4 linked regions of the Elephas maximus indicus genome follow. The protein of the gene in region 1 interacts with the protein of each later gene in a pairwise test. Links are inferred from orthologs where the notes say so. Each region holds a gene or a part of one and is shown in the gene's direction. Other genes may lie near its edges.

Region 1 (7,060 bases):
GAAGTAATGAAACACTGATACATGCTACGACATAGATGAACCTAGAACACATAATGCTACGTGAAAAAAGTCGGACACAAAAGGTCATATGTTGTATAATTTCATTTCTATGAAATATCCTGAATATGCAAATCTACAGAAACAGAAGGTAGATTAATGGTTTCCAGGTGCTAGGGGAAGAGGGAACAGGGAGTGGCTGCTATTGGGTAGAGTTTCTTTTCAGGGTGATGAAATTAGATATGGTTCTGGAATTAGATATGATGATGGTTATGCAATCTTGTTAATATACTAAAAACCACTGAAATGTACGTTTTAAAATGGGAAACGTTATGGTATGTAATCATCTCAAAAAAAAAAAAAACAAGAGAAACCTTGCACAGACCAATGATGAAAATGAACCATATATCCAGGAGTAAAACTCAAACCTCTGTACCTGAAAGATGGGGAAGGATATTGGTAAAATTTAGTTTGGGCAAACGTGGGGAAAAGGTGTCTTCTCATACACTGGGTTGCTTTTTTTTTTCTTAATTGTGCTTTAGATGGAACTTTACAGAGCTAATTAGTTTCCCACTCAATGGTTTGTACATAAAGCGTTCTATGACATTGGTTGCATTCCCCCAATGTGTCCGCACTCTCCCCAATTCCACCCTGAGTTCCCAGTTTCCTTTCATCTGGATTTCTACCACCTCCTGCCTTCTCATTTTTGCTTTTGGGCAAATGTTGTCCTTTTGATCTCATATAATTGATACTTCTAAGGAACACATTCCTCTCAGGTGTTATTGTTTATTTTATGGGCCTGTCTATGGTTTGGCTGAAATGTGCTCTTTGGTAATGGCTTCAGTTCCAGGTCAGAAGGGTGTCTTAGGCCCATAACCTCAGATGTTCCTCCAGTCCCTGTCAGACCAGTAAGTCTGGTCTTTTTTGGTGAATTTGATTTTTTGTTCTACATTTTTTTCCCCACTCTGTCCAGGACCCTCTGTCGCAATGCTAGTCAGAATGATCAGTAGTGGTAGCTGGGCACCATCTAGTTCTTCCAGTCTTAGGGTCATGTAGGCTGTGGCTTATGTGGTCCGTTAGTCCTTTGGACTAATTGCTCACTGGAGTATTTGGTTTTCTTCGCTCTCCTTTTCCAGATGGGAAGAGATAATTAGTCGTATCTTAGATGGCTGTTCACAAGCTTTTAAGATCGCAGATGCTACTCACCAAAGTAGGATGCAGACAATTGTCATTATGAACTATGTTGTGTCAATTGAAGTAGATGTCCCCGAGTCTGTGGTCCTTCACCTTTAAGCCTAGGAACTTCATCGAGGTGTTTGGTTATGGCTAAGAAATTTCCATGACTGTGCCCCTTGTGTGCTCTATTGTCTATATTAACATACTTGCAGCACCTACAATTATATATGTAGAAATATCCACAACCAAACCTATATCTGCAGGGTAGGTGTGCTCCCTTACACCCCACCCCCCCACCTCTTTAGCATACTTATTTACCTGTGTATCCATTCATAGATTACTGTTAATACTATTGTTGCAGGATTATCTATGTTACAGTAATTACCGTAGGGGTCCTTAATTCTCGCATTCCTTTCAGTTTCTTCTTTTGCCTTGGTCGTGTTGTACTGACTTCCCTCATATTTTGTATTGCCTTTCCCTTCACCAATATTAACACGTGTCTTCTATTTTTCCCTCCTTCCCCCTCCCATCGGTGGTAATCATCAAAACAACGTGTGTGTGTAAATCTTTTCTTGTTTTTTTAACAGCGGTCTCATACGATATTTGTTCTTTTGAGATTGACTTATTTCACTCAGCGTAATGCCCTCCAAATTTATCCATGGTGGAAGATGTTTCGTGGATTCGTTATTCTTTATCATTGCCTAGTATTCCACCGTGTATACGTACCACAGTTTGTTTATTCATTCATCTACTGATGGGTACTTAGGTTGTTTCCATCTTTTTGCTATTGTGAATAATGCTGCAATGAACATGGCTGTGCATATATCTACTTGTGTCACAGCTCTTATTTCTTTAGGAGTGGGATTGCTGGATCATACGGTATTTCTATTTCTAGCTTTTTAAGGAAGTGTCATACTGTTTTCCATAGTGGCTGTACCATTTTACATTCCTACCAGCAGTGTAGAAGAGTTCCAATCTCCCCATAACCTCACCATCATTTATTATTTTCTGTGGTGTGTGTGTGTGTTTGTGTTTGGATTAGTCCCATTATTGTCGGAATGAGATGGTATCTCATTGTAGTTTTGATTTGCATCTAATGGTTAATGATCATGAGTGTTTCCTCCTGTGTTTGTTAGCCACCTGAATGTCTTCTCTGGTGAAGTGTCTGTTCATATCCCTCGCCCATTTTTTAACTGGATTGTTTCTCCTTTTGTTGCTGAGGCGTTGAAGTTTTCTATGAATTTTAGAGATTAGACCCTTGTCAGCTATATCACAGCCAAATTTTTTTTTTTCCCAGTCTATAGTAGGTTCTCTTTTGGAGAAGTCTTTTGATGAGTTTAACTGTTTAATTTTTAGGTCTCTCATACAGTGTTGCTGTCAGAATGTACTGGCACATACACTTTAACAAGCAATTTAATAATATCTATCAAAAAAGATAAAGTACATGTCCTATCACCCAGGATTTTTACTAGTAGGAATCTAGACTCAACATGTGGTTGGCACAGAGCACCCAGTGAATGCTCTTTCCTATTATGAATGTGATAATCATAAGAAGAGATAATAAATTATGCAAAAGACTCCTGCAGCTAAATTTCAACTCTTGCTTCTGCTTCGTTTTGGGAAAATAATAAGACAGTGTTTATATTACAGTGTGGTATAATCATGAAATGTCTGCTCTTTTAATTTCTGCAAGCTACATAAAGTAGAAATCTAAATTCTCCCCTATAATATAAGGTCTGGTTTCTAGGGATTCAGAGTATATATACTAGTAGAACAAGGAAACTTCAGCCCAGTTAAAGATTCTCATATGAAGTTCTAGTCTCTTGCTAATAGAGGTGCTGGGATGGGAGTAGACTGAGAGAAAGTAAACAGAGCTTGGGCCTCAGCCAGACTCCATCAAGCTGCAGAAAAACCAAGAAACACTCATAGTGACTTACACGTGAAACTAAAAAAAAAAAACAAAAAACCAAACCCATTGCTGTCGAGTCTGTTCCAGCTCATAGTGCCCCTATAGGACAGAGTAGAATTGCCCCATAGGGTTTCCAAGGAACGCCTGGTGGATGCCAACTGCCAACCTTTTGATTAGCAGCTGAACTTTTAACCATTATGCCACCAGGATTTCCGACTTATACTTGAAGCCTCATGAAAATCAGCAGCGATTATGCAGTGACTGACAAAACCATTAAGTATTGAAAGTGCCTAATTGTGCCTGTATCTGTTTTTTTCCTCTAATTCTTTCTCCAAATGATGATATCCCTTTAAGTGTGGCATTGCTAGTATTTGTAAACACTGTGTTCATCAAATGAAGAATTCTCTCTATGCAGAAAAAGCCCAAGGAGAGGAAAAACATGTCAGTCTACTTTCCCAATTAATTACACCCAGGCCTTGTAGCCCATGCAGACATACCTTGAAGTCAGCTTGCCCAAACTGCAAGCACAGCACTAAGCAAGGAGAAACAGCTTCTGAAATCCAGCCCATAAGCTGAAAGGCGACGAGTGACAGCTAAACCTTCAAAATGTCATTGTAACATCACTCCCCTGGAGCTGGTCTTGTGGAAGCATGGAGTGTCCATCAGTCCACCCGCTGCCATCCCCAACGTCTCACCCTCCTGCCCCACCTACACAGGGTGGTGAGATAATGGTGGGGAGACAGGGATTGTGACATAAGCAAAAAGCCTCAGGCTGATATGCGTAAATAACAGCCCATGAGCCTCCCAGTAGGGACATCACCTGTGAAGGCCTCCTAACAGCCAACCTGTTGCTGCCACCAAGCTGAAGCCTCATCAGGGGGAGGAGGGACCCCTCTACTGGAGAAGTAACAGCGGGACTCTGGTAGAGGAGGCGTCAAAAGTCCTAAGGGGCAGGCTGCCATCATGTAGGCACCATGGAGACTGCTATGTGTGTTTGCTCTCCATGTTGTACATGGCAGAGATGTTGTCCTCGGTTATGCTCCTGTCTGTGCTGCAAGTTCCTCTTCACCTCGGAGCGGAACTGCACCTGCTTCCCCTGCCCCTACAAGGACGAGCGAAACTGCCAATGCTGCCACTGCACCTGCTCCGAGAACCCCAACTGCCACTGGTGCTGCTGCTCTTGGGCCAACGACCCCAACTGCAAGTGCTGTTGCACGGCCAGCAGCAATCTCATGTGCCACTACTACGAGAGCCGCTGCTGCCGCAATGCCACCATCACGTTCAAGAAGGGCCGTCTCAAGAGCATCCGCACTTCGTAAGTGCCGGGCGTCTCCAATGTGGGGTCGCGCTGGCTCAGGACAACCAGGGGCCCTGTGCCAGCTGCGGGGCCCACAGGGCAGGCCAGGTACCCCCTGGGCCCACTTTTCCACCTGAAAAGAAAGAGACCAAGAATTTTGTAGTGATTAAATGTATCCTAAACAAGTGCTAACCACTTACAGACCTGAGTTCCAAATCCAAGCTCCACTAACTCCATGACCGAGTGCAGCACTGGCCCTCAGCCTCCTCATCTGTACACAGTGACAGTACCGTGGCTAATGCTGAGTGCGTCAGCAACTTGTCAGGCACTGCATGCAGGACCCCATTTAACCCTCCCATCATCTTCACTGTACCCATGGGGAAACCCAGCCTTTGAGAGGCTACGTTTCCCAGGATCATACAACAAGTAAGATGCAAAGTCAGGATTTGAACCTAGAGTCCATGCTCTTAACTTTTAAAAGGCCGTTCTGTAGAACGGAGAGAACAATACCTGCCATGATGTGGTGGGTATGAGGGCATGCTTTGTAACCTGTTATGTGATATAAAAACAGAAATTGCTCTTCCCCTTTCTCCTCTGAACTCTTGATATTGCCAACACTTACTGAGTAAGTGATGACTTTCAGCGGCCACTTTTAACTCCTATGGCTTATCTAGGTACCTTGGCACCTGTGACTCCTGCCAGCCTTTCCTTCTTTCCCATCCACAAGCCTTTACATTTAGGGTCTCAAGTACCCATCTGGGGTATTAACCCTCCATGCCAGGCATTCTGTATGTTCTTCTTAGTTTGGCCAAACCAGTCTTTTTATATCACAGATGAGCAGAGCACAGGGAAGTAAGGACAGACATCTTAGAGGAGGAAAGATGAAAGCTCATCCCTAGAAGGTGGCAGGACTTGGAGAGGCAGAGAAACGGGAGGCAGGATTGAGGCCTTTCAAGCCTGGAAAAGTACTTCTGTGCGCAAAGGTTCAGTGAATTCAGGGTAGAGGAGTGTGATCCATCTTGCAGTTACGCACATAGTAGACACTTAATGAACGTTACCCTTTACCCATGGACCTCTTATTGCTGTTTGCATGAATCCAGGGATTCTGCATGCAAGTCAGGAAGTTCTAGGGTGTGGAAAATTGTATCCACAAACCCCTTTCCTCTCAACTGCCCTGTTTTCTATGTATCAGCAAGAAAGAGTTTCTGAGCCCATTTCAGTGGAGTTGGGATGATATTGGCTGGTGCTTTGGGGAAATGACTCAGGCCAGTGACTTCCACACTTTGCTGTGCATTAGAATCACCTGGAGACAGGGACATACAGAAAATGCAAGAAGTCGAGGCAGAAAGGAACAGAGCCACAGGGTCAAGATCAAAATGTAATCCTTATCAATGTCAACGGGGGTAAAGGGATAGGTACAGCCACAAATTGTGTTTACCCCTCCATTCCCACAGCTAATTCATTTCTTTTCATACACTGCTTTTGCCCTGGTTGGAGCTTCTTAGAACACACACATGAATTTTACCAGTATGCTTTTACTTCACTCATAGTTCTTATGGTTAAATATAGGAAATCAGCCTCAGGCATTTGGCATAACGTAAGCAGACAAAGACTAAACACATACACCCAGAACAGTAGCAGCACACACTTTCCATGGACTTGACCACTGTTTTCCTCTACTGTGGACTTAGACAACTAGTAACAGAGGAAAGTAATTATAATGGGCACATTTACTGAAAGCTTACTACGTACCAGCAGTTCAGCACTTATCATGGATTATCTTATTTACGTTTTGTAAAAGTCTCATGACAGAAGCATTATTGTGAGCCTTGACTTACCAGTGAGGAAACTGAGGATGAGAGAGGTTAAGAAACTCATCCCAAAGGAGCAGCTCTAAGCTGGCACATTCCATCACATATAATCTTCCCCTAGAGCCCGGACTCTGAATTGTTACCTACTAGTCTGGTGGTTGGGACACACAGGTTCTTGGCTGTTGACGCCTGTCTACTACTGACCTCCTGATGTCCTGGGAAAAGCCCTTTACCTACCCTACTCTCTGTTCCATCCTATTGACAGTAATGATAATAATCTCAATACTCTCCAGGCAAAACCACCGATAACACACCTGTAGTTGTGGCGCAGTCGTTAAGCATTTGGCCACTTACCAAGAGGTCAGCAGTTTGAATCCACTAGCTGCTCTGTGGAAACCCTATGGGGCAGTTCCACTCTGTCCTATAGGGTCACTATTTGTTGGAATCGACTCGATGGCAACAGATTTTTTTAGCTGAACAAAAAATGGGTTTATTGACTCATTGCAACAACTGAGATCATATACCATGGGGAACTGTGTGGTAACTCCATAAAAGGACGTTAAAAAGTTACAGGATTTGGACTCATGTTAGGTGAGAACGTCGGTGTAAGTCTCTTATTGGATATCTTAATAAATCTTACCTTAAATGTGGAAAGAAGACAGCATAAAGCTGCAGTTGGGAAAGAAGTAGCAGTCACTCCACTCCTATTAGCCAGGGTAGGGGAATGTGTGGGCGTTTTTGTGGTTTGGACAATGTTGTTGGTTTTGTCTAAGTTCAGACATGACTGTGGAGTCGTCTTGTTTCTGTTTTGCTCCATCACAGTACCAGAGAGGCTTTGAATGATGTTGGTGCTCAGTGATATTATGTTCA
Region 2 (7,238 bases), on another chromosome or scaffold:
ATTGAAAATCCTATGGATCACAACGGTCCAATCTGCAATTGATCATGAGGATGACGCAGGACCAGGCCGCGTTTCATTTTATTGTTCTTGGGGTCGCCATGAGTTGAGGCGATTTGATAGCAGCTTTAACAACAACATACCCACAGGCTGAAAGGGAAGGATCTCCACCTAGGCACATGAACTCTATCAAGTTCTTAATATTTCAAGACAATTTTGCTTCTGTTAGTATATCTATAGCATAATGACTTGTCTAAATTCATAAGCGATAAGAATCAGGATAAGCGCAAAGTTGGTTTCTATGAGGCAGAAGTCAAGCCAATCTCCACCTTCCTTTTTCATTATTTGACACCAGCTGCTCGCTTTGAGTTGGAACTGACTCGATGGCAACAGGCTTTAGGCTTTCCCTACAGCACTTTCTACTTCTCTGCTGCGTTCGATAATTCATTGTAACGGCCACACAGAACTCAAAGATCATACTCAGTTATGTGGTTTATTAGGGAAGTAAGAGGCTACAATGCAGGGTCAAGATCACCTTGGAAGTAACAGGAACAACTCAGGATCAGTGTCAGGAAACACAAAGACAAGGTCTGGAAGAGTCCCCAAAGTGGAGAGCACATCCATGCATTCTTCAGTGCAGGACAGCTTCCGAGCAGGACAGCTCTCAGAGCAAAAAGGATCATAAGCAGATAAGCTCTCTGCTGAACAGCTCTCAGCAAGCAATCAGTGGGCATAGTTTCTCTGCTGGCAGCTGCCTTCTTTGCTGGGAAGATGCCTTCTCTGCTGGGCAGGCCTCCCCACCACGAGGCTCTTAGCTGTTGCATCTCTTTGCCCTTTCTCTGCAGACTGGTTCAGCAACACCAGCACTGCTGTCAGCCACTAGCTGGCCCAACTCATAGCCAGTGTAGCAGCTTGCTAAGGTGCTCTCTCAGCTGCAGCTTTTTTTTTTTTAACTGGGACTGGGAGGGTTTTAAGCACAGGACTTCTGTGTCAAAGACACACTTGCCTCCCAGCTCTTGTCAACCAAGTAGCCCTGAAAACCTACACTTCAGTCCTTTATATATACCAATGCTCATCTCTTAGAATGCAGGGCCTCCCTCACCAAGCCAAAGTTCAAACTCCCTGCTGTCAAGTTGATTCCAACTCACAGAGACCCTGTAGGACAGAGCAGAACTGCCCCATAGGGTTTCCAAAGCTGTAAATCTTTATGGAAGCAGACTGCCACATCTTTCTCCCACGGACAGGATGGTGGGTTTGAAGAACCAAACTCCAGGTTAGCAGCTGAGCACTTAACCACTGCACCACTAGGGCTCCTCCACCTCAGTTCAACCAATACTCCACTGCCCAGATGTCAATCCACTCAGGTCTTCTACAACAGTAACATTCTCTACAGGCAGAGATTGGCCCTCTCCAGGCAAAAGTAACAAGCTGTGGTAGAATACAGCTTGGGAGGTCTCCCAAATTTTTTTTCCAAAGAGCAAATTCAAAGGCCACATAAAGGAACTCATTGTACCACACTTACATACTTCAGCATAGTACCCTGAATTCTGGCCGTGTGTCCAAGTACCCTGAATTCTGGCCGTGTGTCCAAGCACACAAAATGCACCTAGCTTTTCTAAAAGTGATATTCTTGAAGAGAGAACACCTTGGCCTTGTCTCAAACATTGCTTAGCTTAGTGCCCCTTGACTTTGCAGTCTCCCATATCCTCCATTTCTAAATTCTGTTCCATTCCTTTGTTTCTTTCTTCACCTACAACAGAAATTCACAGGTGACTTTCCGCTCCTTGGAGATTAGCCCCCGAGTCAATTTTGTTTGTGATTTTGAAAGAAGTACACCCCAATCATTCCACATTATATTTTAATTGTTCCTCAATTTTCTCTTATATTTGCCATTCCTGAACATAAACTGTTTTACTATTTATAGGATATATTCTCTTACGTCATGTCAAAAAGGGATCTGTACACATTCTTTCCCACTGGGTATACAGCACATCTCTGACTTAGGAACATTATCACACTGGCCAGCTGCCTGATGTCCTGCTATGCTGGATGGCTGTGCAAGTGCAGAGAAGTCTCCTTGGGCAAGTGAGCTGACAGAATCAAACATTTTAGATACATAAAATAACAAGATAAACAGGATGGATGAATAAAAGTGAATTATATTAAGGTTATCTTTAAAATTGAAAAGCACTACAATAGAATGACAATTTCTGTTACCTGGAGTGTTCTTAACAAAGCTTTCAGGTGTAATTCCCAATTGCTCTACAGTTACAGTAGAAAAGTTCAAAGGTGATTTAAATATGTCTGGTCTGCAAAGATTAGGCGTCACTTCTGCTTCATGTTTCTGAGTTACAAGCTCCCCATTTCCCAACATGAAAGAGGTATTTTCTGAAACAGACAGTAATATATTGTTGAGGCTAAACGTCATTATCAAGCAAAATATCTATGCCTTAGTTTCCACAAGATCACAAGAGATCACTACACACCAGCATTGTTAATAGCAGACTCTTCGTCCTTCGTTTCAAGGAGCTCCTTGCCTTTTAAACTGGTATCCATCTAAAAAAAAAAAGAAAAATATAAATAACTCCACCCCAAAACTTAATGTGATTCTAGCAAGATCCTCATTCAACGCTGAATTCTAATACAATCTACAAAGGTATGTAGATGTCAACAGAGTACTTCTGCAGCTCATATTAAAGAAATGGGGGAAACTGCTATTCAGGACCCTACACTGTTTGCCATGGCTTTTCAAACCTTAGTGAACACCTGAATCATCTGGGTAACCTGTTAAAAATGCAACTTTGTGGAGTCTCAGGAATTCTGATTCCGTGAATCTCGATGGTCCCTGGATTCTGCATTTTAAAAAACATTCCAGGTGATCCGAGTAGGTTGAATGAGGGCCACTGTCTCCGAAGGGCAGGATACACCCTTAAGAAACAGCACTGTTGCACTGTATTTGAAGCCCAAACCAGGGCACTTGTCCTACCTCTCACTCCCGCAACTTTGACTTCCTGTCGCTTCGGTTTATATTGAAATCTCTGCAGCACACGAGAGACGGTGTCAGCAAAATTGGGGGGAAGGCCTGGTACGATGTCTCTATCTCTTCAAGTTTCTTGACCTCGGCTCTACAGGCCTGAAGGTTCGGCTTGGGAAATCAACTGTTGCTCGCTAAGCTGGCAGCCACCGGGGCTGAGCAGTAGCTCGTAAACGGCTGCTCCGCCGTTCTTCTCTCTGGCTCCTGCCCACCTCAGGGTTCCCCGCCGCCCGACACCACAACCGGGGAGGTTCCCCTCTACCTAAACACTCACCTCCAGCCGCTCCGCGATCCCCCGCCGCTGAATTCAAATCGCCGACCCCGCCTCCTCAGCGTCAGAGCGTAGCCCCACAGATCTCTACGCCGGCAACCAGCCGCACGTGTCCACTTGCACCTCCAACTCTCCCAAGCCTCTACCTCGCTGTCGCAGGAAGCGGACTCGCTGCCTGCACTGAGCGAGAAGCCACCGCTAGCTGAGGGTGACCCATTGGCCAGAAAAACCAGCTTCTATCTTGGGTTATGGGACTACTTTCCATGTAAGTCTCGCGGAGTAACCCTTCGGTTGGCACTTCAGCTCCGCCCCCCACTTTTCGGTTGGATGCTGCGAACTTCGAAAAGAACCTTTGAGCCAATCAAGACAGAACGACGGGCGGGCTCTTACCCAATCAGCCAGTCCTGGCTGCAGCCGTTTCCTTTGTGGGTTGAGAGTGGGCGGGGTTAGAGCGGTGTAGGTCACTCCTAGCGCTCCGCTCTTTTCCCCAAACCCCGCCTTCATATGCAGATAAGCTCTTCTTGTGCTGCCTAGTATTAGTTTTGCGCCTGCCCAGTTATGCATCGAGCGGCCGGTGGGCTCCGGGTTCTGCTCTAATTGGCTGATAACCCTTCCCGTCTACAACCTTTCTTCCCTCCCTCCACCCCGTCTGGGTTCGTATGAGCCCTCCCAGTGCAGGATCATGATTGGCTGAATGCCGGTCATTCCTGCCCGTTGATTGGTGGAAATTAGAGTCAGTCTCGGAGCGGTGGGGGAAGGGCCCCAGGCAGGCTGAGGAGCATAGGGGCGGGGTGGGAAGGAGGACCCGCCAACCCTGGGGTGTGGGACGGAGAGTGTGTATTTGTCTGTGAGTAAGAGAAGGAAGGTGGCGAAGGGAGGAGAGTCCAAGTGGGTGGAGGGAGGGGAAGGGCGGGAGGAGAAAAAGGTGGGAGGGGAAAAAGGTGGGAGGGTGGCGGCTCACTCAGGACCTGGTGGGGGCAGCGCGATGAGGCGGGTGACCCTGTTCCTTAACGGCAGCCCCAAGAATGGAAAGGTAAGGGGGTCGGGAGGAGGTGAGGCGGGGCCGGCTCTGGGGGCGAGGGCAGAGGAGTACAGAAAGAGCTCGCAGGGCAGAGAGAGTCGGAGGGCAAAGGGCTGAAGTTGGGTAAAGGGGCTGGGAGGTGGGCGCGGGGGGTGTCCGGGAGGTGAACATCGGCCTCCCGCGGCCTCCTCCCAATCCTAATTTCTTGCCTAAGCTTGCCCTTCAACTTCTCAACTGCCCCGGGGACCGGTGCAGGTCAGGCTTGTGCTTAATCGTTCCCAAATCCAGGACCTGGGTCCGGAGAAAGGAGGGGACCGAGGGTGTGGGGAGGGACGCTGTCACCTGAGACCTTAGTGCTGATGTTCCTGTTTCCATCTAATCGCCGAAGACACCGCTTCCCCACCCCTGGTTCAGCTGGGTTGTAGAAGGCTTGTTTCCACCTTCGTGCTGAGTAATGGTCTGCTCAAGAAAGTGATAGTAATGATGAAGGCGTTGTGAGATTGATCAGGTTAAAGAAAAAATTAAACTTTTTATCAGTGGGTTAATAAAATATTCCTTCATTCAAAGTAGAACAGAGGATTGAAAATTGGGAGGCTTTCTTGATTTTTTTTACCCCCTCTCATTTAGGTGCCCCAAGCCCCCAAGCCTGGCCGCTGCCAAACTTCTGTACTCGCTTTATTATTTCGCTTTATTTTAGTTCCTTAGAGGACTGAGGAGAGACCAAAATGGACTGATTTGGCAGTACTGTTTGCTGTGTGAGGGTGTGGTACTAAATATTTCTCCAAGGTCAGAGCAAGCCAAAATGAATCCTTTTCCTTCTCAGGCTCTTGCCCCACCCATAAAAGTTGTTCAGCTTCTTTGGAAATTTTGACTGTTCAAGGCACATATATTGTGTGGCTAAATGATATCTAGTAAGTGGTTAAGCCTTAGATTTTAAGGTAAAGGTAATTTGGTCTCACTGAAATTATTTGCTAAATAGTTTGCTTCCTGCATATTCTGGAAAGAGGAATTTTTAAATAGTGACATTTTGCAACAGTATAAAAATGGCTTTCCCACTATGCTGTAAGTTTGAGTAAACATGTTCAAAATCTGAACCACAGTGTGGTTTTTTGGTTATAATTTTGTGTTTTCCTGGTCTTGGAGACTTAATACTCATACAAAAACAGGACTGGGATAAATTCAAGTTTCTGAATTTTCATAAATGGTAACTCAAAATATGCTTCATAAGATTTACATTATTTCTGTTAACTTTTTCTAAACCTATTTTGTGGTTAGCTACTAAATCTAAAACTTACATTGTCGCTGGAAGAAAGATTTAGTAGTATATTATAATATGTTCTCTAAACCAAATCTCTACTTGACCTTTTTTATCCAACACCTCGACTCGACGGCAGTGGGCTTGGTTTTTTTGGTTTATCCAACACCTCTGCTGTGTTACTCATAAAAGACAAGATGTTAAGACCCAGTTATAAATATTTAACTGTGCCCTAAATCTCTTCTGAAACCACTGAATTTTGTTGCCAAAGACTGGCTGAGTTGGGCTCTCCATACTATTTACAATAAGGCTTTTTTTTTTTTAAAGCTATCTAGTCTTAACTAGGTTAGATTTTTGGATATAAATTTTATTTACTTTAAAAATGTTTACTAAAGAACCTCAGAAGATTAGAGAAATGCATCTTAAATAATTAAAAATAAATATATTACAAAGATTATACAAACATAAACTGGAGGTTGCTAGTGTGATTCAGTATTGAAAATAAACCATGCCATAATCCTTACTCTGTTGGAATACATATTAAGAAATCTTTTTTCCAAAGAGCAAAATTATCAATGTTTCCTCTCCTCTCCATTAAGCTGATTAATAAACAATATTATAATTACTCTTATTTGACGAAAAAGAGCAGGATAATACATAACAGTCTACATATATATCTCTGAATGAGTTCCTGGGTGGTGCAGATGGTTACACACTCAATTACTAACTGTAAACTAACAAAGTCTGGAGGTTCAAACTCACCCAGAGGCGCCTCAAAGGCAGGCCTAGCAATTTACTTCCAGAAGGTCGCAGCCTTGAAAACCCTGTGGAACAGTTCTACTCTGCACACACGGGGTCGTTATGAATCAGAATTGACCCAACGGCAACAACTACATGTAAACATACATATAAATATATGTACACACATATATATGTCCTGTTTAGCCAGGGATGGTATTATCATGACACGAATGTTTGTTAAGAACATGCTGAAGCAAAGAGCTAGTTTGATTTCCTGTCCACCAGTTAGAGTATCTGTGTCACTTTCATTATCTCTCTATTTACTTAGCCTCTATTATTGTTTCCTGGCCATAAGAATAATCTGTTTTTCCAAAAAGTTTTCTTTCCATAATGCTTGTTGAGTGGTTGCCAGGCTTGGCCATGAAGCTCGGTGAGGAGGCACGGAATTATTACAGGAGTCATCGTATGCTCACCGTGATACCTGTACACCAACTAAATAAAGCTAGTGAGTGTTTTGATGTCGAAGAGAGGGGTATGTGTTCTCTGAAATAGTGGTTTCTGGAGTGAGATGATGTACCACAAAGGATGTAAAAGGTGATTAGCTGGAGTTTAGGAAGAAATAGTATACCTTTTATTTACATTTTTCACTTAAAAATATAAAATAATATTAAAACTATTTTTTTAATCTAGAAAGACACCAGCGTCTCCAGTCACTGGATGTGTCAGCTGGTCACAAGTCTTCTGAAAGAACAGGATGTTCACATGTGAAAAAGTTGATAGCTGCTTCCTTATTTGTTGATTTACTTTTGTTATATTGTGATGTATGGAAGTTTACTGATGCTGGGTTAAGATATATATTATCCAGTTTCAACTGAACTAACCTTCACCAAAAAGTCAAGTGGCTTTAAAAGATTCCTTT
Region 3 (7,845 bases), on another chromosome or scaffold:
TGCCCTATAGGGTTTCCAAGGCTGTAAATCTCTACAGAAGAAGACTGCCATGTCTTTCTCCCGTGGAGTGGTTGGTGGGTTCAAACTGCCGACTTTTTGGTTAGCAGTCGAGCGCTTTAACCACTGCACCACCAGGGCTCCCAACACATATAGCCACATGTGTACAAATGAAGAGAGATTATTTAGAAGTCACCAAAATGAAAACAATGATAACCTCTCAGAGGTAGGCTCCCAACCCCTGTTTACTTTCTCTTGCACACTTAATTTCTTTTCATGTTTAACATTTTTGCATTTGATTTTTTATTTTGTATAACGAGTGGTATTACATTCCTTATTAAGATTATCGTCATCACCATTATCATCACTACAAAAACATTTGAGCATTTAAAAAAACAAACAAACTTGATTGCCCGGCGTACAGAAAATGCTGGATAAATGTCAGAATGCTAAAGCGCTTCCCCAAGTGGCCAGCTGATTGAGAGCTGTTTAGAATGCCTACCATTCTACCATTAAAGTTTTATTCTTCAGACTTAAGAGCTGTCTTTCATCTTAAAATGCAAATAATGGCAGAAGAAATATTGCTTGAATACTTACAAGTTTTTTATGTGATGGAATGAGTCTATTACATTTTTTTCCTGAGCACTTACAGGGAGGTAGGAAGAAAGAGAGTTTGAAAACAGTGTGTGGCTTAGGGGTGCCCAGGAGATGTCAGAGATGAAGCAATTAAGTGCACTGACTGGGGAGCCTGCAGATGGCAGGAATAAACCTTGCCGGCTGCAGTTGCTGATGGAAGGATAATGCTTTAGGCCTAACCCTGGCCCTAAGCCAGGGAATGTGTAGGAAGATGTTTTCCTGACCAGGCTGGCTTTTTCCACCTGACCCTGGCTCTAAGTGAGTCTTCATTTAGCACCTCAGGGCTGGCTAAAGGCGGGAGGGGGTGCAACTCTTTATCCCTTAAACAGAAGTATTGATAATAATTATACGGGCCTTTTGGGTGAAAAGTTCCACTCAAACATTTGTCAGTGAAATACCTGCCATATGGTAGGAGAGGAACAGATTCCTCTCTGATGATCCATGGTGCTGGGCAAATAAACCAATGAAACAATTGATGAGAGTAAACTCAACCAGAGGACTCATTCCTTCTGGAATGTACACTGAATGTAGCCATTCTGCAGACCATTAACTCCACTAATTAGAACCATGATTCAAGAGATAAGCTTTCACTAACATTTTGGAAGACTCTAAGGCTCCTTGCAGCAGGACAAGCACCTCCCTCCTGCCCTGAGTCCCCACCCTAAGCAGAAGGAAAGAAAACTCATGTTAACTGACCACTGCTATATGCCTGGCATTTTCTTAAGTGAAATTTAATCACAGCAACCCTTTGAGGTAGGGATTATTATTGCTGTTATCGTTAGCTGCTGCCGAGTCAAGCCCCCAACTCACGGTGACACCATGCACAAAGAAATAAAATGCTGCCCGGTTATACCCCATCCACATAATTGATTGGGGATTGGACTACTGTGATCCACAGGGGCTTCACTGGCTAATTTTTGGAAGTAGATCTCCAGGCCTTTCTTCCTAGTCTGTCTTAGTCTGGCCACTCCACTGAAATCTGTTCGGCCTCATAGCAACACCAGACCTCCACCGAGAGATGGGTGGTGGCTGCTCAAGAAATGCATTGGCTGGGAATCGAAGCTGGGTCTCCCACATGGGAGGTGAAAATGTACTTTTAGCCCTTATGGCACAGTGGTTAAGAATTTGGCTGCTTACTAAAAGGTCCGCAGTGCGAATCAACCAGCCGCTCCTTGGAAACCCTATGGGGCAGTTCTACTCTGTCCTATAGGGTCACTATGAATCAGAATCGACTCAATGGCAATGGGTTTTATCACAGGTTAGGACACCAAGTTTAAGAAAGGATAATAAGGTGTCCAAGGTCAAACTGCAAATGAACAGTGGAGTGGGATTTAGGATTTCCTGGTTTCAGGTCCAGTGTGCTTCCCCCTGTCCCATCAGTTTCTTCTCACCAGGTCATTTAGAAAAAAATAACAAGAACATCAAATAAATAAGGCAATGACTTCTCAGTACTTTGTTAGCTGTTTGTTCCTGAGGGTTCTCAGCACGTTGGATGTGGATATTTAACATATTTCGTATTTATTAGAATGAAACTTCTAGAGAACAGACTTGTCTGATCCTTCCTAGAAGCCCCCACAGCACCTAGCAAAGATCTGGGGAAACTTGGTGAGGCAGCCATGGCATAAACCAGAAAAAAACCAACCCAATTGACGTTGAGTTGATTCTGACTCATAGTGGCCCTGTAAGACAGAGTAGATCTGCCCCATAGGGTTTCCAAGAAGTGGCTGATGGATTCAAACTGCAAACCTTTTGGTTAGCAACCGTAGCTCACTTATTTCCTTGGAGATCATAGTAGCTCTTAACCACTGTGCCATCAGAGCTCAGAGAGCCTGGGTCCAAATTCAGGCTCTACCACTCACTGGCTGTGTGACACTGAGCATAATATTTAAACCTTCCTGTGCCTCAATGGAGATAATAGAGACACTCATCATAGTAATACCTACTTCATAGAGGTATTAAGCAGACTAAATGAGTTAATGCTTACAAAACACAAAACCCAGTGCCGTCGAGTCAATACCTACAATGCTTATAAGAGACTTAAAATAAATGTTAGTACTTTATGTGTCCAGGGAATTCAAGCTCTCAGAGTCTTATTTTTCTCCAACTTGAGCTCTTTTGGGTGCAGAGGTCTTTAGGTATACAGACTTATCCCTCTGGACCCTCATAAAATACTTTACAATTCCACAGTGCGCCAAATTTTCGAAGAAGTTTTCACCATGATTCCAGATGATTGTCACCATGTGAAGCAGATGCTCAACAAATATTTGATGATTGAATGAAAGTAGGAATTTTCTAGAAGCTGAGGTACAGCGAGCAGCAAAAACTTGCCCAAGGTCACCCAGCGAGATGGCAGTACAACCCAGGCTTTCTGACAAAGAATTTAGTGTGCTCGCCCCTTCTGGGTGACCCCTCTCTCCCTACCACTGATGTTCAGTCCCCTGACGATTCCCCTCCAGTGTCTCCCCACCACCACCACCTCCACTGGCTTCTGCCCTTGCTGTTTCTAATTCCAGTAAACTTGAAATGCACTGGTTATACAGAAAGCATTTTATCTGACCTTCTACATGCAAATTCTTTCCATTGGGATTTCTCCGTGTCCGGCTCCACCCCAGCCCACATGGCCATAAACACTCGTGTGTCTACAGCCCAGCCCCAGGGATTCCAGAAATAACAGCAGGGCCCTCCATTAGAAAGCTGGAACATAGTAAGGCATTTCTGTATTAAGACACAGGCCTTTTCCAAATCAGGCCTCTCCTGTCTGTCAAGATACAAAGCAACCTTTAGAAGTCAGGACTGGGAGGGGCAGCTGGGAGAGAGTTTAAATTTCTGGAAAGTCCGAATCCTCTCCTCCCATCTGTTTGCACTCTCAGGTCTTCCATTCTAGAGATTCTCCAGATTTGCTCTCAGTCTCCACTTGGAATTTCAAATTCTTACTTGGCTGTGGCACTCCTTGGCTTTCAATGATCCATTCTCCCTTGCTGGAACTGGAATCATAACATTGTGTGCCCAGATGGCAATTTACATCCCAAGATGGCACCAAGCCCCTTCCCAGACCTAGAAGACCTAACTTGGACTTGAGGGGCTGGGGAAATGCCAGCAGAGAAAGAAGTAGCTGGTGGAGGCTAGGCAAGGAACAAGAAGATGTTAGGCGCCACCCTGAAAACAAGGCATCTGGGGCAATCGTTTTCACTTCAGAAGGGTTTCACCATGAGGAGAAAAACAGAAGACAACGTCTTGAGAGAATTTTGGCTTTTCAAGTGTCATCTCAAAAATAACGCCAGAAAATAAAAACCATGTTACACATAAAATAGTGATGTGAAAAGAAAATGTATTTAAATGCATTAAATATAGAAAAGGTGGAAATTTAAAATTAGTTGCTTGTGATGTGGGGAGCAGGTTCTGGGTGTTTTGCTCCAAATGGTCCTTAATGTCATTTTTTTTTTCTTTTTTAAATCATGCTAACTAGCATTGTCAGATAAGTCTGCTTAGACCTCCTTGGATCTACCTTTATGCAGGGGAATTTTAGTTTTTAGGTACCCGTCGGAAAACTTGAATTTATCAGGTAAAAGCCACACTTAAGCCACTTTCTCCAGGAACTAAATCTTCTCTAATGGGGATGAGATTGTTTCTAATTTGCTGCCCTAATCGCAACGTCATTAAAGGCTGGGTTTAGTATATTGAGCTCCAAACCTTTGTCACGAATAGGAAGGTGGAGGAAAGAAAGGCGCTTGTGCAGCGAGAGGGCCCATTCTGTCACCCTCCGAAGCCCAGCCTCAGTCAGGACCGACCAGCGCTGCAGCTGCATTAGGCAACAAGATGCAATGCACCATCTGCAGTGGCTGCTGCAGAAAGAGACTCTGCCACCGCGGGAGAGGTCTTGCGAGCCTCTCGGTCTCGTGCCGCACCCAGAAGCGCCGGGGGTGGCGGGGAGGATGAGGGGAGTTGGTAACAGCATCACCATGGCAACAGTGACGTCCTTTTACCCTGGATCTAATTGGAGGAAACCCCGTGGCCGAAGCCGCAGCCTACCGGCCAACCGAACTTTGCCAAATGCGACCCACCCTCCTGTCCTCCGCTTCCCCTCCCACCCCACCCCCTCCCTCGCCCCCTTCCGCGCGCTTAGTCCTCATTGGTTGGTAACGGAGTAGGAGGTGGGACTCTTGGGGGAAGAGCGGCGTATCATTGGGCGGCGGGCGCGAGGGCTGTCGCGCCGCTGCCCGCCCTTCGGCTCCGGGGTAGGCTGAGACGGGAGGGTCCTTCGCTAAAGCTAAAAAGCACATCAAAGTGGTGGGACTCGCGTCGCGGTAGCGGAGACGGTAAAGGTGAGCGCCGGGATCGCTCCCCCGCCCCTCCTCCGGCCTTCCTGGGCTCCAGGGCAGGGTGGGAGGCGCAGCCCTCGGCCACGGCTGGCTCTCGACGCCAGTCTCCTCAGAGGCAGCGATCGGCGGGGAAAATGCAGGGCTGACGACCGCTTCCATTTTGGGCTTCCCGGGCTGGGCGGGGGTGGCCCTTCCTCCCGCTTCCCGCGCGCCGCCGGGCCGCTGGCTGGCCGCGTGGGCGCCGCCTCCGCCTCCCTGGCCTTCGGCCTTGGCCTTTCAGCCCCCGGCCGCCCCGCCGACCCCGCCCCGCCGGCCTCTCCCGGGGTGCCTAGGCGGGTGAGCGTGGGCGGGGGGGAGAGGGAAATTCAATTCCGCCGCGGCCGCCGAGACAAAAGGCAGGCGGGCGGGCGGGCGGCCCGGGGCGGCGGGGCCGGCCTGCGGGCTGGGCGGGGTGTGGGCCGCATTGTCTGACGGTGCGCGCTCTCCTCCCCCTCCTTTTTGTTCTCGGCTCCTATCTCGCCACTCTCGGCGCTCCCCACGCCGCCCCTCCCGCAGGCTTTCGAGGAGGGCTCTTCCTGATCCGGGTTGGTTCTCGCCGCCCTCGCTGTCTCTGCCTGTCTCTTCTCCCCGTCCCCTCCCGGAGCGCCGCCGCCACCCGAGCCCCGCACGCCGCCTGTCCACCATGGAGAAGACGGAGTTGATCCAGAAGGCGAAGCTGGCCGAGCAGGCTGAGCGCTACGACGACATGGCCACCTGCATGAAGGCGGTGACGGAGCAGGGGGCCGAGCTGTCCAACGAGGAGCGCAACCTGCTCTCGGTGGCCTACAAGAACGTCGTCGGGGGCCGCAGGTCCGCCTGGAGGGTCATCTCGAGCATCGAGCAGAAAACCGACACCTCCGACAAGAAGTTGCAGCTGATTAAGGACTATCGGGAGAAAGTGGAGTCTGAACTGAGATCCATCTGCACCACCGTCCTGGTGAGTCTGGACTGGTGGTCTCGGTGGTGGGAGAATGGGTGGTGGGGGCGTCAGAATCGGGTGTCTGGAGCGCCGAGGCCCTTTTGTGTAATGCCTTTCATTGAGAATTTCATGGGAATGGGGAAAAAAGGGGGGCGAGGGCTTGCCTAATTGTTCGCCAATGTAGAGGCTCTGAGAAGGTTATTATCCTTGCCTTTTTTATTCAATTTAAGTTCTTGAGACTCAAGTTGATTTTCCAGCAATGAGTGAATCTTTCCCCAGTTCTAGGCTGCTACTACACAATATGGATTCAAATGTCCCAGTAGGTTTGTACATGTGCAGGGCTGAAGCGTCTTGTCCTGGGAAACGGCTTACAGAGGACATCAGTGAACCCTTTAAATATTGAATCAGTTCACATGCTTCAGAGTTAAAAGAAGATGCAGTCACCTTTTTGATAAGACAATGTGTAGTAACGTCTCCTCCTATACTCTAGTAATAGAAATTTATCTTGAAAATCCAAAGGCATGATTCATTTTTCAGTTAAGAGTATTTGTTAGGCTTCTCGTTAAAAACGGGGGTGGGGGCGCGCTAAATTGTGAAGAAGGCAGAACTAAGTCTAAAGAACAAAATGTCCTGGTAAATTTATTATTTCCTAATAGTTTCCTGCTATTGCATAGCTATATTTAAACTTTAGTATTTGAAGTGAATTCATTTCTGGCTTGAAGTAGGCAAGGAAAGCTTTCTAGGTTTTAAGCTGTTCAGTCTTAGCAAAGGTGGCTATTGGGTGGAGGAGGTGACTGCTGTGATTCACCCTTATTAGTGATAGATGACATTTTTAGCTTTGTCATTGCCTGGACAGACTCTTGTTATTTTTAATCGATAAGATTAAGTTTTTTAATTTAAATACTAGCATTATTTCCTGGTGTATTTTTAAATGTTTCTGATGATGCAAAGAGTTGTTTCTACTGGTAAAATATAGAATCTCTGACATAGGTTGCCTTAATTTTTTTTTTTTTTTTGGTTAAGTGCCACTTTAAAAGAGGCATACTGATTTTTGACGAGTTTGTTCCAAATTGTATTTTAGTTGGGCTTTGAAAGATGAGCCAGTAAGCTGGTGATTTTTTAAAGGAGGAATGGGGAAATTGCCCCTTTCTTTGCCGAACGTTTCTCCTTTCTTGGGATCAGACTGGTGTGGCAGGGCGTGTGTGCGTGCGTGTGTGTGTGTGTGCCTGCGTGCGTGTGTGTGGTTTAACTTACCTGTTTTTGTAATACATATAACAGTCTAAACAAAACTGTGGCTGATAGAGATAGCCGGTAAAGGGGCTTTCTGGGTGTGTACTAAAGAAGGCAACACGTTATTGAGATTATTTGCTTTATGAGGGTGAGACACTGTATTATATTTATCTATGTGTTCTTAGCTTCTAGTCCCTGCTTCGCATAGAGAAGGCGCTTCGAAAAGCTTTGTGATCTAAATTGGCCTGTGTTCAAGAAACTTGCCAACTTGAAAGTGATGGTAGGCTTCAATAGTATTTGGTGATGGTATTGACTGTTTATTGAGGGGGAAGACTGATAAGAACTCCATATACTAAGGACAAGGTGTTCTGTATATTCCTTTAGGGTGCTCTCACAGTTATTTGTTTAATTATTGTTTTGCAGTTTGCCTTAGCAATTCAGGATTGGCACAAGGTTTTTCCTGCTCTCTTGCAAGTTAACTCTGAATCAAAGGAATATTTGTTTTATTTTGTGGCTCATATAAAGTTCGGTTTCTATGATAGCATAAGTGGAAGAGATTCACGCTACCTTTGACAAGTGAAAGAGTTTGCTTGGTTGGTATGAGGCTTGGAAGAGTAGTCCTTTCATACACATCATTTCAGTACAAGAGAGCCCCTGAAAGTAGGGCAGTTTTTATACCAATAGAGTATAGAAGAGTTTAGCTTG
Region 4 (7,427 bases), on another chromosome or scaffold:
CTGAAATCACAGGCCTTATAACTACCATATTCATTCTCCACCTGCCAGGAAGAAGGGAAAAAGGAGTTCAGTGAGGAGGTTAAGGACCTCCTACACCCCCTTTTCCTTGCCCAGTCAACTTTTCACTTGTACCTGAATGCTAATGATGTTGCCCCCATTGTGGTACAGCCATGGATATATCTTGGGCAGCAAGACATGAAACCAGGAGTCCACTGCAGCAAGGAAGTCTAAAGGAAGAAGCCGCGCTCTCTGAGCCCACAGTGCTCTGCTCATTAGGGGCTACCACAACCTCTGCACACACATACACAAACACACCAACCAGCGTCAATACTAGCAACTTCCATGCTGACTATACTTGGGGCTGCAGTCTCCATCTGACTTATCTGAACCAAATCCATTGCCGCTGAGTCGATTCCGACTCACAGTGACCCTACAAGACAGAGTAGAACTGCCCTATATGGTTTCCGAGGAGCAGCCGGTGGATTTGAACTGCTGACCTTTTGATTAGCAGCCGAGCTCTTAACCACTGTGCCACCAGGGCTCCTCCATCCCACTTGCTGTTGTTAGGTGCCGTCAAGTCATTCCTGACTCATAGCAACCCTATGTACAACAGAACGAAGCACTGTCTAGAACTGCGCCATCCTCACAATCGTTGTTATGCTTGAGCCCATTGTTGCAGCCACTATATCAATCCATCTAGTTGAGGGTCTTTTTCTTTTTTCTTGACCCTCTACTTTACCAAGCATGATGTCCTTCTCCAGGGACTTGTCCCTCCTGATAACATGCCCAAAGTATGTGAGATGAAGTCTTGCCACCCTTGCTTCTAAGGAGCATTTTGGCTGTACTTCTTCTAAGACAGATGTGTTTGTTCTTCTGGCAGTCCATGGTACACTCAATATTCTTTGCCAACACCATAATTCAAAGGCATCAATTCTTCTTTGGTCTTCGTTTTTCACTGTCCAGCTTTCACACGCAATATGAGGTGACTGAAAAGGCCATGGCTTGGGTTAGGTGCACCTTAGTCCTTAAAGTGACATCTTTGCTTTTTAACACTTTAAAGAGGTCTTTTGCAGCAGGTTTGCCAAATGCAATGCGTCGTTTGATTTCTTGACTGCTGGCTTCCATGGGTGTTGATTGTGGGTCCAAGTAAAATGAAATCCTTGACAACTTCATTCTTCTCTCCGTTTATCCCACTTATACATAACTAAATCTGGGAAGCACTGACTGACTCTTGTCAGAAGAAACTCAACCCTAAGCACTCATATATTTGCATATCAATGGAATTTCAACATAGGAGACCTTAAAGCAGTGTTTCTTACACATTTGTTTTTTTCCTGTAATAAAAATGTTAAATACATCTTAAACCTTATAGAGCTATTATTATGTAATCAGCTTATGCCTCAAATTGCTATAAAGTGGCCTGTGAATTCACAGAAATGTGTAATGTGTAACCTGTACCCTAATGCACTGTCCGGTCGATTTTAGCCATCAATTGAAAGATCCCTGGTTTACATTAGGTAAAAAAGGTAGCATGCCTTAAATTCTCAACTCCTACTTGTGATTTCTGTGATTCACTCTCAGGTCTTCATGCATGTTATTACTTCTGCCTGACATTTTTTTTGTCCCCACTTCCTTCATTTGGCCAATTGCAACTCATGCTTAAATTATAGCTCGCTTCCTCAAGAAAACCTTCTCTGATACCTGAGCCAATTGTTGTTTGCCTTCTTCTATTGAATCTTCTGTCTCAACTCACCTGGATCTGAGGTTCTCAGATGAATTTTAGGTTTTCGAAGCAACCAGGATGGGAGACCCCCCTGAGAGAAACATAAACACAAGGAAGAGTGTAGGTTTTGTTGTTTTGGGGTGGAGTGGGGGAGGTAGGAAGGGAGGAAGTTCAGTGCAGTGTTGGAAGTGGCCCTACAGTATGGGCAGAAGGGAGTTGTCTAGGAATCATACAAGGGTGGCTTTGGTTCTTCTATCCCTTCTCCAACTAACTCACCATCTCCCACTCTGCACAAATATAAGGTCCTGGTCTCAGTATGACCAACAAGTTCGCCTTATTTGCCTCATTCAGAAACGCAGTGAGGTCCCGGCTGCCATTAAAGTTATAGACCCCAGGCTCTGGCTCATGGTAGTTCCAAGGCACGTAACTGGAGGAAAGAAGAGGTTAACAGGGCCCAAAGTGGAGAGATACCAGTGAGGCCTAAGGGCTCAGGCTCTGCAGGAAATCTCCAGGAAGCAGTTGGAAAAATGTCCTGGCCCACCCTTTCCCACCCTTGGCCTGGGAGCCCTGGTGCTCCAACCCCTCTCCATCCTGTGCCAGTCTTTCTGCCCCAAGCTTCCTCCTAAGGGGGTGGTACGAAGGGTAAGCCCCGCCTCTCCACGGCTCTCTGAGCACTTCTTACAACTGTATGGCGTTAAGGCCGCTCATTCGCATTTTGAAAAGCCGGTCTGCCCAAAGCACCCGCGGTACCCGGAAGTAGTGCAGGCTGCCAGATACATAGCGGAACGGAACCCCGTCCAGGAGGAACCGGTTATGATCCCGATCCACTACGAAAGACCGAGTGTCTGCCTGCAAATTAAAGTAGAGACGCTGCTCAGCAGAGGTCTGCAGTGGGGATCAGCGTCTGCCGAGAGCGGAGAATATGTAAATAGCCCCGCCAGTTATTATTTTTACTTTCCCTACATCCGCCGAATCTGATCCGGCCTCATCGAACCCGGCAGGCCGGCTCAACCCTCTTATCTTACCTGGGGCAGCAGCAGCGTCAGGAACGGCAGCAGCAGAGAGAGAAGGCAGGGCGGCATCTTGGGAGCCACGGCGCTTGCAGGGCTCCTAGTTTTGAGACTGAGGTCCAACCGTCACGTGGGATTCCTGGGAGGGAACCTCAGTGAGCAAGGGGGCGGAGACCACCCCAAGTTGCCAGAAGATTACCCTGGACTTTTGTCTCCAGCCTGCAGCCACCTGCCACTCTACTAGATTGTAAAATCCTCTATATCTTGCTACTCAAAGTGCAATCCATCGGACCAGCTTCGTCAGCATAACCTGGGAGCTAGTTAGAAATACAGAATCTCAGGTCCTTTCTCAGACCTATGGAACCAGAATTTGTATTTTAACAACATCCTCAGGAGACCCTAAACACATTCAAGACTGAGAATCACAGCTCTACTAGAATAACTCCCTAAAGGCAAGCAGTGCCTGGTCCATCTTAAATCCTCCAGAGTGGACACACAGCAGGTTAAATATAGACGAATGAATGTCAGAACCAGGGGCTAACGCCTGTTCAGAACTAAGGGAAACCTCAGACAATCTTCCCCATGATCGGGGTATGAAAACGGAGAACCAGGTTACAAAAGGGATGTTTCTCCTGGAAAGCCCTGTTTGAGAAAAAGGGTCCGTCCTGGCCATTCATTCCATCTTATCCCCATCCCACTCTCCCAGTTCATCCCTGCCTGCCTGAGCAAGAGATTTTAAGAATAACTGCTTGGTGCCAAGATTTGGGAATTTGTCAGTCTCCATTCCTCCTGCCCTCACAGTCCCAAGCCTGGGATGTGAGGACCAGGGTAATTAGTAATAATTACCGTTATTGTTTTTTTTAACACTTACTGAAGGCTATGTGTTAGATATTATGCTAAGCACTTCATATCTCATTTAATCCTCAAAGAACTCTGAGGTAGATAATTATCATCCCCATTTTACAGATGAGGAAATTGAGGGACAGAAATATTAAGTAACCTGTTCATAGTTACACACTAGTTCAGTAGCACTGGGATTTGAACTCAGCAGTCTGGCTTCATGGTTCAGGCAGGTAACCATAGGCACCATACAACCTTTGGGACTACGGCCTGTATCCCAGATGTTCGCTGTGCAATGAGATAGAAAGGCTGAAGGATAAAGACTAGGGAAAGTGAGGCTCAGAGACGTTAAGTAACTTGCCCGAGGTCACACAGCTAGTAGGCTGTTCAGTTCGGATTTAGACCCTGGCAGTCTGGTTCACGAGTCTGATCTTAACCACTAAGCCTAGAGTGGTGGGATCCGGGCCAGAGCCCTGGAGGTTGTGTGGCTTCAGAGCTCACAGCTCCAGCAGTCCAGACCTCGAGCACCTGCTTCTCCCTGTGTCCCCGGGTTGTACAGTAGACGGCCGCTTTCTGGCCCCAGAGCGCGGGAGGTATGAGACCCCCTACCTCGGGCATTGGGAGATGGAGGTCCTGGGGGCCTAGGGCCGGGCCCGGTTTTGCTCCCCTTTGGCTCAAGTGCCTGCGTCTTGAAGGCCAGGTGGGACCCCTCGCCTGGGACCCGTCCTCCCCAGGCCTAGCCTGCCCCGGGCTTCGCAGCGCGGCGCCCCCACATCGTCCGGGTGCCCAGCGGTTGCTATGATACCGCGGGCCGTTATGCCGGCGCGGACTGATGATGTAACCACTGTTTCCGGCCGCTAGCGCGTCCCTGTCGCCCGAGCCAGGTCAGTGGGGGGCCGGGGCTGGGGGACCCTGGGCTCTGCGCGCGGTTGCCGAGGGTGGGTCCTAGAAGGGATGGGTCCTGGAAGGGGTGGGCCCCAGCCTCGCACCTCCCGCGAACTGCCCTGCCTTGCCTTTACGGCCCGACGGGCGTGGGAGCGGGGGCCGCCCAAAGGTGGCCTGAGGTTGGCGGAAGCGGCGTGGTAGTTGTTACGTGGCCTGAGGCTTTAAGGCACCTGACCCCAGCCTTGTTGGAGCTGGTGTCGCCAGGTCCTCAGATCCAGGCCTCTGCTTTCCGCATTGGTACCTCAGGGGTCGTCGCGACTGTTCCTTTCTGTTCTTTACAGCATGCTCTGCTGGGCCCTCAGTGCATGGCCTGGAAGAGCCCACTCATCCTGAACGAATTCTTCTGCAGCCTCAGACCGTCTTTGAGGAGGATGACTGAGACACTATGGGCCATGCGCTGTGTGTCTGCTCTCGGGGAACTGTCGTCATTGACAATAAGCGCTACCTCTTCATACAGAAACTGGGGGAGGGGTGAGTGTTTGGAAATCACTGAGCGAGTTCCCAGATTATGGTGATTGAAGGACACCAATCCATACATGACAGGGGTATAAGGGTTTTAACTCTGTCCTCTAAGTCACCTAACGGGGCCTAGCTGCATGGTAGTCAAAAAGGTGAATTCTGCAGCCAGGCCTCCTAGATCTACCTTGTGTGACCTTGGTAAGCCATGGTTTTGTCATATGCTTGATGGAGATAATCATGTTTCGCTGATGGAGTTGTGAGGATTGAGATGATGTGTATAAGAGGGCAAGCCCAGTGCCTGGTCCATAAACACTTGGTAAATGTTGGCTGTTATTCATTTAACATTTATTGAGCATCTGCCAAGTACAGAACTCTGTGTTACGATCGTAGTACCTCAGAAATGACTATGTCGCTGTTCTCGAGGAGCTCAAAGTATGATAGTCTTCAGATGGGTTTCTACTAGTTGGGAAATACAGCCTTCTTCCCCCAGGGAATTCTTCTGGGTGCAGGCATTGCGGGAGATGACCGTGGTCCTTCACTGACCCCTTTGGCCCACAGTGGGTTCAGCTATGTGGACCTAGTGGAGGGGTTACATGATGGACACTTCTACGCCCTGAAGCGAATTCTGTGTCACGAGCAGCAGGACCGGGAGGAGGCCCAGCGAGAAGCAGACATGCATCGGCTCTTCCATCACCCCAATATCCTCCACCTCGTGGCTTACTGTATGAGGGAGCGGGGCTCGAAACATGAGGCCTGGCTGCTGCTACCCTTCTTCAAGGTCAGAAGGACTCTTGGATGTGGAGGGGGTTGCAATAGAGCCACTTACTAAGGGCTGTGTGGGCAGTCAAATGTGTAGGAAGCAGGGACCATGTCCTGGGTTTGGCCACTCAGATTTGGGGTTTAGAGGAACCCCAGTGGGACACATGGAGCTGCCATGAGTCAGAATCGACTCAACGACACTTGGTTTGGTTTTTTGATTTTAAGTGGGACTGTGGGATCTGAGGTGTGTGTGGTGAACAGGTTGATAGGCTTTGACAGAGCGAACAGAAGGCTCAGGAAAACTGGGGAAATTGTGTTGCAGAGAGGTACGCTGTGGAATGAGATAGAGAGACTGAAGGACAGAGGCAGCTTCTTGACTGAGGACCAAATCCTGCTGCTGCTGCTGGGTATCTGCAGAGGCCTTGAGGCCATTCATGCCAAGGGTTATGCCCACAGGTCAGTGGGAGGATCCCCTACTTACTGGGCAAAGAGGAAGAGCCTCACCAAAAGAAATGGGAAGTCTTTGCTCTCCTTTCAAGCAACAGCCCCCATGATTCTTTTGTTCCTTGGGATTTTGGCCTTACTGTCCAGGGATGCTCATGATTCACTCCCACTTCACTATAGAGACCTAAAGCCCACCAATATCTTGCTTGGAGATGAGGGGCAGCCTGTTTTAATGGACTTGGGTTCCATGAATCAAGCACGTATCCACGTGGAGGGTTCCCGCCAGGCCCTGGCCCTGCAGGTGAGTCTCCAGGTTTGTTTGTCCACCTGTTCCCCATCCTCAGTCCCTTCTGGGGCATGCCCCAATTTGGTCACATGACTGTGGCCTGTGACCCACTTTTGAGCTCTGGGGCCACTGTTCCAGGACTGGGCGGCCCAGCGATGCACCATCTCCTACCGGGCCCCGGAGCTCTTCTCCGTGCAGAGCCACTGTGTCATTGATGAGCAGACTGACGTCTGGGTGAGGAGCATATGGCTGGGAACCTGGGCAGGGGAGGATTGCTGCTCTGTACTCACTGTGCAGTAGAGGGTAGATCTGTGGTTTCTACTGCATGAGGCCCCAGGAACCATGGTATGTCCCCATCCTCCTTGGCTTCCTTCCTGGGACTGTCACAGATACTGTAGTCAACTGCTCAGGAAGTGGTATAATTCCTGCCCTTGAGCAGGGTGGGTACAGCTACATGTCAGGGCTAAAGACAGTGGCTAAGCAAGAGATACAGAGGCCTCCAGATAAGTGGCAGTTTCTGTGGGCCCTGATAGTGCCCTTTGACTGAGCAGCAAGGGATGGGTCTTACCTCCATCAGTTCCCTTCCAGAGAGTAACCCAGGTATGCTCAGTCCCTAGGCTGTGTGCTGTATGCCATGATGTTTGGGGAAGGCCCTTATGACATGGTGTTCCAGAAGGGTGACAGTGTGGCCCTTGCTGTGCAGAACCAGCTCAGCATTCCACAAAGCTCCAGGTAAGCAATAAAAGGGACACCAAGTGTTTCAGACACCTCCCTCTGGTGTTAGCTGCGCTGGGGCCTTAGCAAGCGGGGAATGGGTTGCCCTCCAGTCCTCCAGTCAGCCTGCCTTCCTCCCTCTACAGGCATTCTTCAGCATTGCGGCAGTTGGTGGCTTCCATGATGACTGTGGACCCCCAGCAGCGCCCTCTCATTCCTGTCCTTCTCAGTCAGGTGGAGGCACTGC

What was found.
Region 2: the proteins of TRIM42 (region 1) and KCTD9 interact in binary tests that used the Homo sapiens proteins (3 or more experiments, as listed by UniProt). The two-hybrid records come from large-scale screens. The link is inferred for Elephas maximus indicus from reciprocal best matches to the Homo sapiens genes TRIM42 and KCTD9.
Region 3: the proteins of TRIM42 (region 1) and YWHAQ interact in binary tests that used the Homo sapiens proteins (3 or more experiments, as listed by UniProt). The two-hybrid records come from large-scale screens. The link is inferred for Elephas maximus indicus from reciprocal best matches to the Homo sapiens genes TRIM42 and YWHAQ.
Region 4: the proteins of TRIM42 (region 1) and STK16 interact in binary tests that used the Homo sapiens proteins (3 or more experiments, as listed by UniProt). The two-hybrid records come from large-scale screens. The link is inferred for Elephas maximus indicus from reciprocal best matches to the Homo sapiens genes TRIM42 and STK16.

The regions. Positions count from the first base shown.
Region 1 is NC_064841.1:18,931,715-18,938,774, reverse strand, and holds the start of TRIM42 (tripartite motif-containing protein 42), read left to right. Parts: upstream 1-4,056; coding exon 4,057-4,397; intron 4,398-7,060.
Region 2 is NC_064840.1:48,272,644-48,279,881, forward strand, and holds the start of KCTD9 (BTB/POZ domain-containing protein KCTD9), read left to right. Parts: upstream 1-4,236; 5' UTR 4,237-4,287; coding exon 4,288-4,335; intron 4,336-7,238. Other genes in the region: CDCA2 (cell division cycle-associated protein 2), read right to left, coding at 2,215-2,385, 2,484-2,553. UniProt on the Homo sapiens protein: Substrate-specific adapter of a BCR (BTB-CUL3-RBX1) E3 ubiquitin-protein ligase complex, which mediates the ubiquitination of target proteins, leading to their degradation by the proteasome.
Region 3 is NC_064830.1:19,016,752-19,024,596, reverse strand, and holds the start of YWHAQ (14-3-3 protein theta), read left to right. Parts: upstream 1-4,845; 5' UTR 4,846-4,955; intron 4,956-5,507; 5' UTR 5,508-5,634; coding exon 5,635-5,928; intron 5,929-7,845. UniProt on the Homo sapiens protein: Adapter protein implicated in the regulation of a large spectrum of both general and specialized signaling pathways. Binds to a large number of partners, usually by recognition of a phosphoserine or phosphothreonine motif.
Region 4 is NC_064824.1:117,833,585-117,841,011, forward strand, and holds the start of STK16 (serine/threonine-protein kinase 16), read left to right. Parts: upstream 1-4,407; 5' UTR 4,408-4,457; intron 4,458-4,461; exon of another isoform or gene 4,462-4,511; intron 4,512-4,799; 5' UTR 4,800-4,903; coding exon 4,904-4,989; intron 4,990-5,535; coding exon 5,536-5,755; intron 5,756-6,058; coding exon 6,059-6,192; intron 6,193-6,360; coding exon 6,361-6,481; intron 6,482-6,604; coding exon 6,605-6,700; intron 6,701-7,076; coding exon 7,077-7,198; intron 7,199-7,326; coding exon 7,327-7,427. Other genes in the region: GLB1L (beta-galactosidase-1-like protein), read right to left, coding at 1-41, 133-227, 1,754-1,814, 2,000-2,150, 2,406-2,572, 2,749-2,805. UniProt on the Homo sapiens protein: Membrane-associated protein kinase that phosphorylates on serine and threonine residues. In vitro substrates include DRG1, ENO1 and EIF4EBP1. Also autophosphorylates. May be involved in secretory vesicle trafficking or intracellular signaling.